2 linked regions of the Caenorhabditis elegans genome follow. The protein of the gene in region 1 interacts with the protein of each later gene in a pairwise test. Each region holds a gene or a part of one and is shown on either strand. Other genes may lie near its edges.

What was found.
Region 2: the proteins of E02H4.2 (region 1) and ZK973.9 interact in a two-hybrid assay, tested with the Caenorhabditis elegans proteins (one large-scale study listed by BioGRID).

The regions. Positions count from the first base shown.
Region 1 is NC_003284.9:14,276,445-14,283,370, reverse strand, and holds E02H4.2 (MIF4G domain-containing protein), read left to right. Parts: upstream 1-1,744; 5' UTR 1,745-1,771; coding exon 1,772-1,888; intron 1,889-2,317; coding exon 2,318-2,479; intron 2,480-2,533; coding exon 2,534-2,596; intron 2,597-2,639; coding exon 2,640-2,735; intron 2,736-2,828; coding exon 2,829-2,945; intron 2,946-3,741; coding exon 3,742-3,825; intron 3,826-3,868; coding exon 3,869-4,085; intron 4,086-4,139; coding exon 4,140-4,908; intron 4,909-4,956; coding exon 4,957-5,046; intron 5,047-5,150; coding exon 5,151-5,207; intron 5,208-5,254; coding exon 5,255-5,335; intron 5,336-5,973; coding exon 5,974-6,007; 3' UTR 6,008-6,249; downstream 6,250-6,926. Other genes in the region: Degenerin del-1, read right to left, coding at 6,331-6,485, 6,537-6,661, 6,845-6,926.
Region 2 is NC_003279.8:4,369,710-4,373,910, reverse strand, and holds ZK973.9 (SS18 N-terminal domain-containing protein), read left to right. Parts: upstream 1-1,772; 5' UTR 1,773-1,799; coding exon 1,800-1,895; intron 1,896-2,498; coding exon 2,499-3,012; intron 3,013-3,216; coding exon 3,217-3,308; 3' UTR 3,309-3,492; downstream 3,493-4,201. Other genes in the region: cec-10 (Chromo domain-containing protein), read right to left, coding at 1-48, 98-247; lpd-5 (NADH dehydrogenase [ubiquinone] iron-sulfur protein 4, mitochondrial), read left to right, coding at 893-1,042, 1,145-1,341, 1,388-1,571; pdp-1 (PPM-type phosphatase domain-containing protein), read right to left, coding at 3,638-3,739, 4,136-4,201.

The sequences.
Region 1 (6,926 bases):
GTACGCGGAACGTTTTCACAAATTGACATTGTTTTGTTTTCCCTAAAACCATTAACTTCCGACATGTCTCTGTTGGCTTTTCTTCTAGTCACCATCAAGACGACATAACATTTCAATGTATAAAATGGAATTAACAAATTTTATTGAAACTTCAATTTTCTCTTGTAGTTTTGTATCAAAGTGCCTAACTTTGTTTCAAAAAATTTCCACACTAACATTCAATCAAAGGTATTTTTAAACTTCGAGCTAGAAGTTTGTATTTTTGTTTCAAAATACATCATCTTACTTTATTCTTTTCTAGTTGCAAAATCCTAAAGTTCAAATGATGCATAATTGAGTGTATGCTTGTTCAGTTTTGCTGCATATTACCAAAACTAATTATGCTTCTGATTGTTTTAAGGTTACAACACTTTGAATTTGCGTCAATTGTTTTACAATTCTTTATATAGATTTTTAATTGAGTTAAAAATCACCGACTTCCGTTTTAAAATGCCCCTATTCTTACAAAAATTTTAAATTGAATTATCCGCACAATTTATTGTGTGCCATGCCTGTTTATATTACCAAACTGTCATATTTTCTTATGCACTGTAATTTTAACAATGTAAAGTTTTTCACTCGACGTACTATTTTTTTTTGAATTGCAGTAAATTTTGCAATATTTTTGTTTTTGAAAAACTGGCAACCTGAGGAAAACGGAACTGTTTTGTAACTTCAAAGAAGCAATTTTAGAAATTTGCAAAAGTCTGAATTCTAAAATTCTAGTTCAAATCCTTGTGATGTATAAATTATCCTGTCATCTTGGAGATTTTGGATAACATTTTGAATGTATCAAAATGTTAGAATCTGGTTTCTCGTGAAAAATTAAATTTCATTACATCTCAGAATGTTTCACGATTTTGATCTACATCTAATATATATAACAGGTAAACTTGTTCAAAAATTGATTTTATAATAGTTTATATTATGGGCAGCCCGTGAAGCTTGAAATGAGTAATTTAAAAAAATAAATCCGCTGCACGTTTAGCTTAATACTTGAAAAAAAGTTGAACAGTTCTATCTCATCAAATACATCTTTAATCTCTTTTTTTTTGACTTTTGCTTTGTTGCCATAAAGCTATTTCAAAATTGTACCATATGGCAAATGAATGCTTTTAAGGTTTGTTGTTGAACAAGAATATTCGTTAGCCCTCTTTTCGGAAATGTATGCGCTTACATATGATCTTTCAAAACTCCGCCTCTTTTCTGTCTGCGCCATAGCTTCTCTGTGCTCTCTTTTCTACAGTCAAATGTCTTATGCTCATTTTTTTTCAGTTGTGGATCTTGATGTCTCCTCCTTTCCGTTCTCTCGATTTTATTTTTTGCTATTCTTTGGAAAGGCGTCAATTTATTATAGGCAACGCGTGAGCTAAATTTTGAACTTTAGTATAAAAAAAGCGACGAAACAATGCGATACAAAAGCTTGTTCTCATTTACAAAACTGACATTTTACGTAGAGACTCAAGTCTTGGCAAAATTTTAATCACACGAAATTTTATAAAAGTCTGAAAAAAGCTGTGAATAATTTAGATAGCCTCGAACACATGCAGAAGTGTGCAAAACTGATAGAATGCTAATATAATGTTTGAAAATTTTTAACAGTGTGTACCTAGATTTAGTCACTAAAGTATGTGCTATGTTACAATTCTTCTATTTTTTTTTCATATATCCTTTTATTCACTGGTGGGCCATAAAAATATATCTCAGATTGATCATATTTAAATCTCAAACGATGGAAGCCAATTCTAACAGAATAAGCTTTGTGAACCCAACTCAGACCCCACAATACGGTTTAAATGAAGAATTCAAAGGAGATCCACAGTCAACGATTAAAAGTCCAGAAACGCGGGTATGTTTTTTTTCAATCTTTTGAGAGATATAAACTGTGCTTGTTTTAAAGTAAATGGAAAAAATATGAGACATGGTCTTGCGAGCATTTTTTGTTTTTGCCAGTTTAGTGGGGATGAATGTTTACCACTGTCCTTAATTTTGTGACAGATGTTCTTCCTCGTACCGCACCGGCACGAGCACTGGCCGGTGTTTTTTTTTCAAAATCTCCACTCACACTAAAACATGAATAACACCAGTTGCTTTTGTTGATTAATGCTCGATTTTCAAGTTATGCAAAAAAAAAAATTAAGGGACTTAATGAAAATGCGTGCAATGAAAATGAAAGAGTATTTTGCTGTGCTCACATGGAGATACAGAATATCATTGGTTCATCCTCACCCAAAAATTTAAAAATTTTTAATTTATAATATTTTGAGTGGATTTCCAGCTTCCTGCCAAGTATGAACGTTTTGCTCCACAGATGACTACATACTACACATTCCCTCCAGCGAACCCGGCGTTTTTCTCGCAACCGATGTATCCCCAAAGTTCGTGGATTCCGGAAACTCAAAATCCTTTAGTGTATTTTCAAGGTGCTCCCGTGGTGCAGGTAATTTAAACCAGATAATTATAAATTTAAATGTTGTTTCATGTTTGAATTCAGGATTATTCTACATTTTCATCAGCCCCATACCCATCTCAACCACCCAATAATTGGAATGTTCAGGTTCGGACTTTTATTGACACATTTCGAAATTAAAATGTTACAGAATTTTACAAGCTACCAATATGCAAACCAAAATCACCCAGCACAACTGCCACATCAAAAATACTACAATTCCGAGCAATATGCTTTACAAAGTCAGGTAAAAATCAGAATTTCAATTGAGAACAATTACGTGGCATTCCACATTTTTTAAACCTACCATAATCAGACCATGGACGGAAAATTTATTCAGCCATGTAATCAATACCAAATGAACAAGTTGTGTTGTGTATCTCCTCCTTATCAGTACCAACCAAGGACTCCAAATGCTCAAAGCTCGCCGAACCTGAAGGACCTGAATTATTTGGATGTAAGAAAGAAGTTTAATGTTTTACAATTAAATTGAATACGTTCAGTAAAAAAGTAGTGATTTTGGAAGTTATTGTAATAAAAAAAATAGGTCGGAATGAAAAATATAAAAGGTTGACTCAGAAAACTCGAAAGCTGATGCTCACTTAAAAAAAATCGGAATTTTCCTGCAATCGGCAATTTTGGCAATTGTCAGTTTTCAAATATTTTGGCAATTTTGGCGATTGTCGGTTTTCAAATATTTCGGCAATCGGGGATTCCGAAAATTGCCGAAATTGCTGATTGCCGGACATTTTCGGCAATTTTCAAACATAATTATAACTCAAAAAATGAAAAAAAAAATCACCTTGTTAGTATTTGGTTAGTCATTTTCTAATAGATAACGGCCAAAACTTTCAGGATTTAAACATTTTAAGCTTGAAAAGAAAACATCTTCTTTTAAATGCATGTTTAGACTCAAAAATTTACAAAACGTATTAAATTTATGTTCCCGGCAATTCTGGCTTCCGGCAATCGGTAATTCCGACAATTGCCGGTTTTCAACATTTTCGGCAATCGGCAATTGCGGCAATTGCCAAAACTGCCGAAATTGGCGAAAATTCGATTGCCAAACGACAATTGCCGCCACCTCTGTTTCAAATGTAATTTTGCCCTTTCCGTAAAAAAATAATCAATACGTTCATTGTTCATCTCTCCTTGAGATCGTAACAAAACTACCTAAGTGAAATATAATTTTATTTAAATTTTAACTAGTGTCAAAAAAAAAAATTTCATGAAAATCTTAATCATCTTTACAGCATTTGACTCCGTTTTTATTCCCACCGGACATTACTTCTCAATACAGAAAACATAATTGCCGAGGAAACAACCGTAACTCCAAGGTATCAATATTGATTTATTTCATTTTTGAATTGAGTTATTTAGACTAGCAATTTCCGGAGAAACGACAGGAAAAACCAACATGGCCATAACCAAAACCGTTCAAATCAAGTATCCAGACAGCATTTGCCAAACAATAATGCATCATCTTCATCCTCCTCATCAGGTGTCGTTTCCGAATTACCGCTGTCTCCTAACAAGACTGAGCTTAAAATTGTCATATCTCATGGAAATGAAACAGTTTGTGTTCTGAAAACAAAAGGTAACAAGAGTCCGATACAATTTTTTTCTGTTTTTAAATTCATCTCTCGTTCAGATATTGATGGATGCAACGCTCAACAACTTTCGAATGTTGTTGAAATTCCTATGGTACTTGCTCCCTCCCTCTCAATACAATCTACTGACTCGTTCAACTCGGCTTACGAAGATGCCGAAGAATCTTTAATTCAACCACAAACTAAAAAGAATGAAGGTGACGCTTATGGAAAATATAATTCAACGCTCACAAATTGTCAAACAAGGAACCAATCGGAGAAAATGAAATCATCGCAATGCTTGATCGCAGATGTCGCCGAGAATGAGAGCCCGAATGAGACAGGGCCTGCTGAATTCAATATTTTTTGTACTGTACCGGAACAATCTTCTAAACGCTCAGAGCCCGACGTTATAGTTTCTGCTGCAAAATCAGTTACTGAAGTTGAAAATACAATACTTGCTGAACATGATACCGCTACTGCTGAAAACTTTTCGAACAACGATGAACCAATTCTTCTTAGCGTTACTAATCTTCACGATGAAACAAATAACAAATCAATAGATGTATCACTGAATCACCCATTGCCACCTTCGACAGAAACTGGAGTTGTCAGCGGCAAAGTTTCACAATTGGAGGCACCAATCAGTACAATTGTGCAGGAAACGATCCGAATCCTCGCCGAGAGAAATCTACTCCGTGACATCAATGACTTTCATCAAGAAATACATTTGAATGTCATGCAAGAAAATATTGGACAGTCTCTAGATCATGCTGCAATAGAAAATGAGGAACATCCAGAAACTGAAAGTTCCTTTGAAAGTTCAAGCGGGTAAGTTTTTTTAAAATGAAATTTCTTACGAATATTATGATACTCCAGTAGTTCCAACCCTTCTGTCCCCATTGAGATTGATCAAAAAATGCAATTCAACAAAAACAATCCATGGGAAAAATTGGAACAATATACTCCGTGAGTTTACAATAAATATTAATTGAAAACAAATTATTATTTTTGACATTCATGAAATTCAATTTAAGTTCTGAGTTCAACCGCCATTGTCATTAAAATTTCAGACCTTCAATCATTATAGTCTCGTGCGCAGATTCTTCACAAAGCCCACACAAAGCTTCGTAAGTTGACAACGGAAGTATTTTTTATAATGCACATCATGTTTTAGAACTCTCAAAAACCCCGGTTACGGCTGCTGTTCGGGCATTGGCAAGAAATCAAAATACAATAAGAAAGTTGACAAGAAAGAGTGAGTTGAACTAATGTGAAGAATGGTAAACTTGCATACAAACCAGACTTTTAGTCCTGAAAACGATGTTACAAGAATAACATAGGCATAGCTGTTTCGGAGTAAACCCCGGCCCTGATACTGAATAGGAACTAAAAAAAATATTTTACTTATTCACTCATTTGTTACTGAATCATTAACACTTATTAAAAAACCACCTGATCATGAGAATGCATACCGTTCTGGCGCGCGAATATCTCGTAGCGAAGGCACCTAAATCTTACATTTTTGAATGATATCTCGTTGCCGCTTTTTTTTTTCAGAAAATAGGCATTCTCATGAATTCGTGGTTTTTTAATAATTAATCATTCAAATGTGGCGAAAACATCTTGATAGTTTTTTCCTTTTTTTCCTGGGCAGTTATGTTGTCTGTGTACTCTACAGGTTCACTTCTCTCTACAGGCTCACAGGCCATTCTCGAGGGAAAACCTGTCAAGATGTTGTAACGTAGAAATTGAATGTATCAACTATGTTGGTGTAATAACTACTAACTAGCATAGTTGGTACATCATCAATCTTTATGACGTTGGTCGGAAGGATTCATGGCACTACTGATTTGACGTGAAAGTGGATAACGGGACTGAAAATAAATTTTACAGAGTTCTCCACTTGACAAACTTTCAACTAAACTAAGCAACGGAGCTGTGCGTTTCATTCTATCTGTTTTTGTGTTTTTTAGCTCATTCTCATTTTCCTGTATTCTTCAATTACTTTGTTTGTATAATTTTCGTTTAGCAAAATTTGGAATCCCAGTTCGAAATCCGGCCACACAAATCTTCTCTTCAACATTATGTGTATTCAACAGCAACCTTTCCATGTTTTCTCTTGAATATCAACTTTTTACGGTCAAAGTTGATCAAAATAAAATGTATCTTCTTGTGGATTTTTTATGAGCCCGAGTAGACTGTTTGAAAAAAACCTGTTTATTCACATTTGAATTCCACAGAGATCAAAAATCAATTATTATTTGTGGATACTCCTTTTTCCGCATCATTCAATTCTTCAGCTCGTAATAATTCCGTTTTCTGCCTCCATCTTCTTGGCTTACATGCAATTCCAAGAGTTCGGACAGCGAAGAATAAAAACTCAATCACGCTCATAATGCTTGCGCCTGAAAAATTCACTTTTTGAATTGCGAGTTACTCAAATTGTTTAAAATCACCTAAAAACAAGCCAGCTTGGCCACCCATATCGGCCATCAAGTTGAACCAAGAATACGACTCAGATTCTCTCAATATCTCATAGCTCATTTGTTCATAATAAATTTCAATCATTGCGGCGTGTTCTCTGAAAATCGATTTTTTGTCATTAACTGTCAACTAATTTATTTGAGAATAAATGTATTTTAGAAACAAAACCATTTTTCAAGTTACATGTTATATCCAAAAATTCTTTAAAAAAATGTTTTCTGATATTTGCCGAGACATGATTATTATCAGGTTTTTACATAGAGTTTAAAACAGTGCAAACCTTAAATAAGAATTGCAATCTTTTGAATGATTGTCACACGATGTTTGTATACTTCCGCTCGGCCACTTTGCTGCTGAATACG
Region 2 (4,201 bases), on another chromosome or scaffold:
GACTCTTTTCAATTTTCCATTGTACCGCATTTCTTGTACTTTTTCGACCTGAAAAAAAGTTGAATGTATTTCTGTTTCAGTCAAATTGCAGTATTACCACCCAGTGATCCTCGTCTATTTCTTCTTCTTCTTCATCTTCTTCGTCTTCCTCACCTCCTTGTTCATCTTCTTCTGATTCTTCCAATGTTTGAACCGAGCTTTCCTCTTCAGTGTCTACGTTGACTTGGGTCTCGCTGGAGCTTGACATTCTGAAAACTAAAACAAGTGTTGTGAAAGCGGTAATTTAAGAGTGGTTACAAGTGTAAAAACTGACAATTTTCATGAAGTTTATTATCCAAGAACATTAAAAGGTGGTTGAGGTCAGAAGAACAGCTCACAAGAGAATTAGAAAGGATATTACAACGGGAGACAAAGGGTGAAGAATGTACTTAGACTGTAAGGCAATCATTGTGATAAATATTAAAAGTGACATGAGTCACAAGAAGGGAATGGTATGTGTTCTCGTACAAGCACTAGCTGTCAAAAAAATCAAAACACAATGGGGTCTCGTGAATTATGAGAAATTCTATTAGGAAATACTTTTAAATTGATTAATTAAATGTAAAAGAACAATCTGTATGGTTTAAATTGAATTATAGTTTTATTGAATTATAGTTTTAGACCTAAAATTATGAACGAATTAAAAAATGAATTCAGCTCAAAAAACATCTGATTTACGATAAACAACACGCGGTACCGTTATACCGGAGTGTCGTTGAAAACGCGAACATTTTTTTTATTTTCATATTTTTTCCTCTCAATTTATTGATTTTAATTAAATATTCTTTTCTATTTTTTCTAATCCGTCACAGTATTGTAATTTTAAATTATTTATTAATGGAGTAATTTACAGATGCTTCGTGCTGGAGCCTCTCGTTGCCTTTCGGCGGGAAACACGGCTTTCCGTTGCCTCTCGACTGGAAAGGACAACCTACCGGTCACAAGATCGCATGATGCCAAAAAGGTTGAGCTCAACGATATTCTTGACAAACCGTCTCAAAAAGTAAGATTTAAATGTTGATTTTTCCTGTTTTAATACACGAAATTCAGCGAATTGCACTTAAATTGTTTATACTTGACATTTTTATTGAAATAAATATTTCAGACTCCAGTAAAAGTATCATCCGATGAGACAATGGATATCGGAGGTGTTCCACTTGATCACCAAGATGCCCGTACCGCTCGCATCTTCCGTCCAGCAAGAGAGACTACACAAAGTGCTTGGGGTAATACCAAGTCCTGGACCATTGAGCTGGATAATCGTCAAAGATGGGAAAATCCATTGATGGGATGGTCTGGAACGTGAGTAGCATCTTAATGAAGTTTAAAGTTTAAAAAAAAAATTTAGTGCGGATCCACTCTCCAATGTTGGAATGGATCTCAAGTTTGCCACAAAAGAGGACGCTATCGCTTTCTGTGAAAAGAATCGCTGGGAGTTTGACGTCGAGGAGCCACATGAGCGCAAGATTAAGCCAAAGAATTACGGACAAAACTTCTCATGGAACAGAAGAACCAGAATTGGAACTAAGTAAATTTCTATTAAAAGACGAAGTAAACTGAACCGCTTCTATTTAGATTTTGTTTTTTTTTGTGTAGAAAATGAAGATTTATCTCGATATTGTACTGAAAACTATTATTGTATTGGTTTCTTGTTGGTTTCAAAAATATCCAACTTGTATTTTTTTAAAATTTGATTTCCCTGTTTATTTTCTATATTTCTTATAAATCACCAGATGTCAACGGCACATCTACCTCCAGCGATGCGAACAAATGTTCCAGATCAACAGTCAACTGTGCAGAAGTTACTCGATGAAAACTCAAGGCTGATCGATATTATACAGGAATATTTAAATCAGGTTTGTTTGTTTTTTTTTGCAAAAAAGGAGTACCTTAAAATACTCACTATTCCCAAATGCCGAAATACCACAAAAGAAAATCGTAAAAATTGCTAAGTATGAAAAAAAAGATGATTTTGGCGATTTTTCAACTGTTCCTCATTTGAATTACCGCACTATGGTCTATAAATACCGTCCATAGAACCGTGTCGCACTTTTCAATTTTGGCACAAATTTATCTTTTTTGTGTTGTTTTTCTAATTTTTAATAAAGAAATACGTCATAAATGTGCAAAATTGTTTTTAAAAAATCGTATCGATTTTGTTAAATTTCGCGGAACTCTATAGAGCTCTACAATAACAATGTTTTTTTTCTATTGAATAATTTTTAAATACAAAAAAAAAACGTTTATGACCTTTTTATTCATTAAAAATTAGAAAAAAACACAAAAAATTCTGCCTCAAAATTGAAGTGCGGAATGGCTCCATGGGCGGAGTTTAGAGACCATAGAGCGGTAATTCAAACGATTTTTCAGATTTAATGGAATTTTTTCGTTTTTTAAAAATTTATTTCGAAATTCGAGCACCGATTACTCCTCCTCTAATCATAAAAAAATCATTTCAGAGCCGTGCTGACGAAGCCATCAAACACCAACAACTTTTACATCGGAACTTGTTACATCTTTCAAATCTCGCAGACCCATTCCTTCTAAGCCAGCTGAAAGATGATGGTACCGCTGCTGCCGCTCTTCCAGATCCTAACCAACAACAGCCTCAACCCGGAGCTTCTGGTCCTCCGGCACCACATCTCCAACAACAACAACCACAACATTCACCACAACAAGGCCATCCACATCCTCAACAAGGACTTCCTGCCGCTCACCATCGTCAACAAATGATGCCACCACAGGCGGCACCAAGTCCAGGTGGTCCAATGCAGCCGCCTCACGGATTTGCTCCTCCGCCAATGGGTGGTGGTGTACCACCCGAGATGATGAATCATCAAGCTTATCAAGCACAAATGCGGCAGCAGCAACAACAGCCTAATGGACAAGCTCCGCCACCTGTGTATCCACCGTTTGGACAGCCAGCACCGCAGATGAGTGGACAGCGAATGCCTTATCCTTACCCGCCGCAAGGTAATTATTGTGGAAAAATACCTTATTTGAGTTAAAAAATTCCCAGAATTTCCCGAAAAAATAAAAATTGGTGAAAAAAAACTTCAGGGGAATTTTGGCCTTTTTGTACATTCTAAAAATAATTCTGAAATTTTTATATCCCAATCCAATCTCAAAGATTCTGCACCTCAAACTATAAATTCACTGAAATTTATTTTCTTTCAGGAATGCCTGGATATCCTGGAGGTCCACCACCACCACCACACGGATACGAAGGATATCCTCCACCAGGAGCCCAGCCAGGATACATGCGATAATCGACAGATCTCCAACTCCAAAATTTCACCAAATTGTCAAACATAACATCTCATTCCTTTGTCTCACTTTGATATGTACTAACTGAATCATTAAATTATTGTGATTGTATGTTTTTTTTTCGATGTGAGAAAAGAAAAGAATCATTGATCTTGAGCACCAATTAACAATAAATGCAACTATTATATACAAGAAAAGATACCTAGACAAAGACCGGGGAGACTCTTTGGCATAAAGTCGTCGTCTCTACAGAGGGGAGATTACAAAAATTAAAATAGGGATAATACCAGTAAAGACTATAAAAATGTGTGCATGGCATTAATTTTAAGAGTTATTCTTCATCGTCTTCGTGACCGTCGAGGAAGGTTTCATTGAAATGGATCACAATAACAGTGATGTCGTCACGATAGTTACGTGCTCGGCCGGGAGGGACCTGAAAAAATAATTTTTATTAAAAAAAAATCATAATGTTACAATCTTTCACCGTGCCTACTTAAAGGCGCACAGATTAATTCAGATGGGTCTCGGCGCGCAAAAAAGTTTATGGTAATTATTTGCAAATTTTTGCGATTTGTTTATTTTCCTTGCAGTTTTCTATAAAATTACTTTTTTTACGCTGCGCGCTGAGACCCATTTGAATAAATCCGTGTGCCTTTGTGAAGGTAATCTCGTGAAATTACGGGATTTCGCTTCAAAGTTTTAAAAAAAGACGTAGCAGGGAAATTTGTTACGAAAATTAAAAAATCTCCATTTTTTCGTTTTATTTCCGATTTTCTAACTATTTTAGATTTTTGAAGCAAAATGCCGATTCACTCCACCAAAAAGTTACCTGTAGAATATCAATAAGCCTCTCATATTGTTTTGTCGCTCCTCCACTAACACCTCCTAACGCATG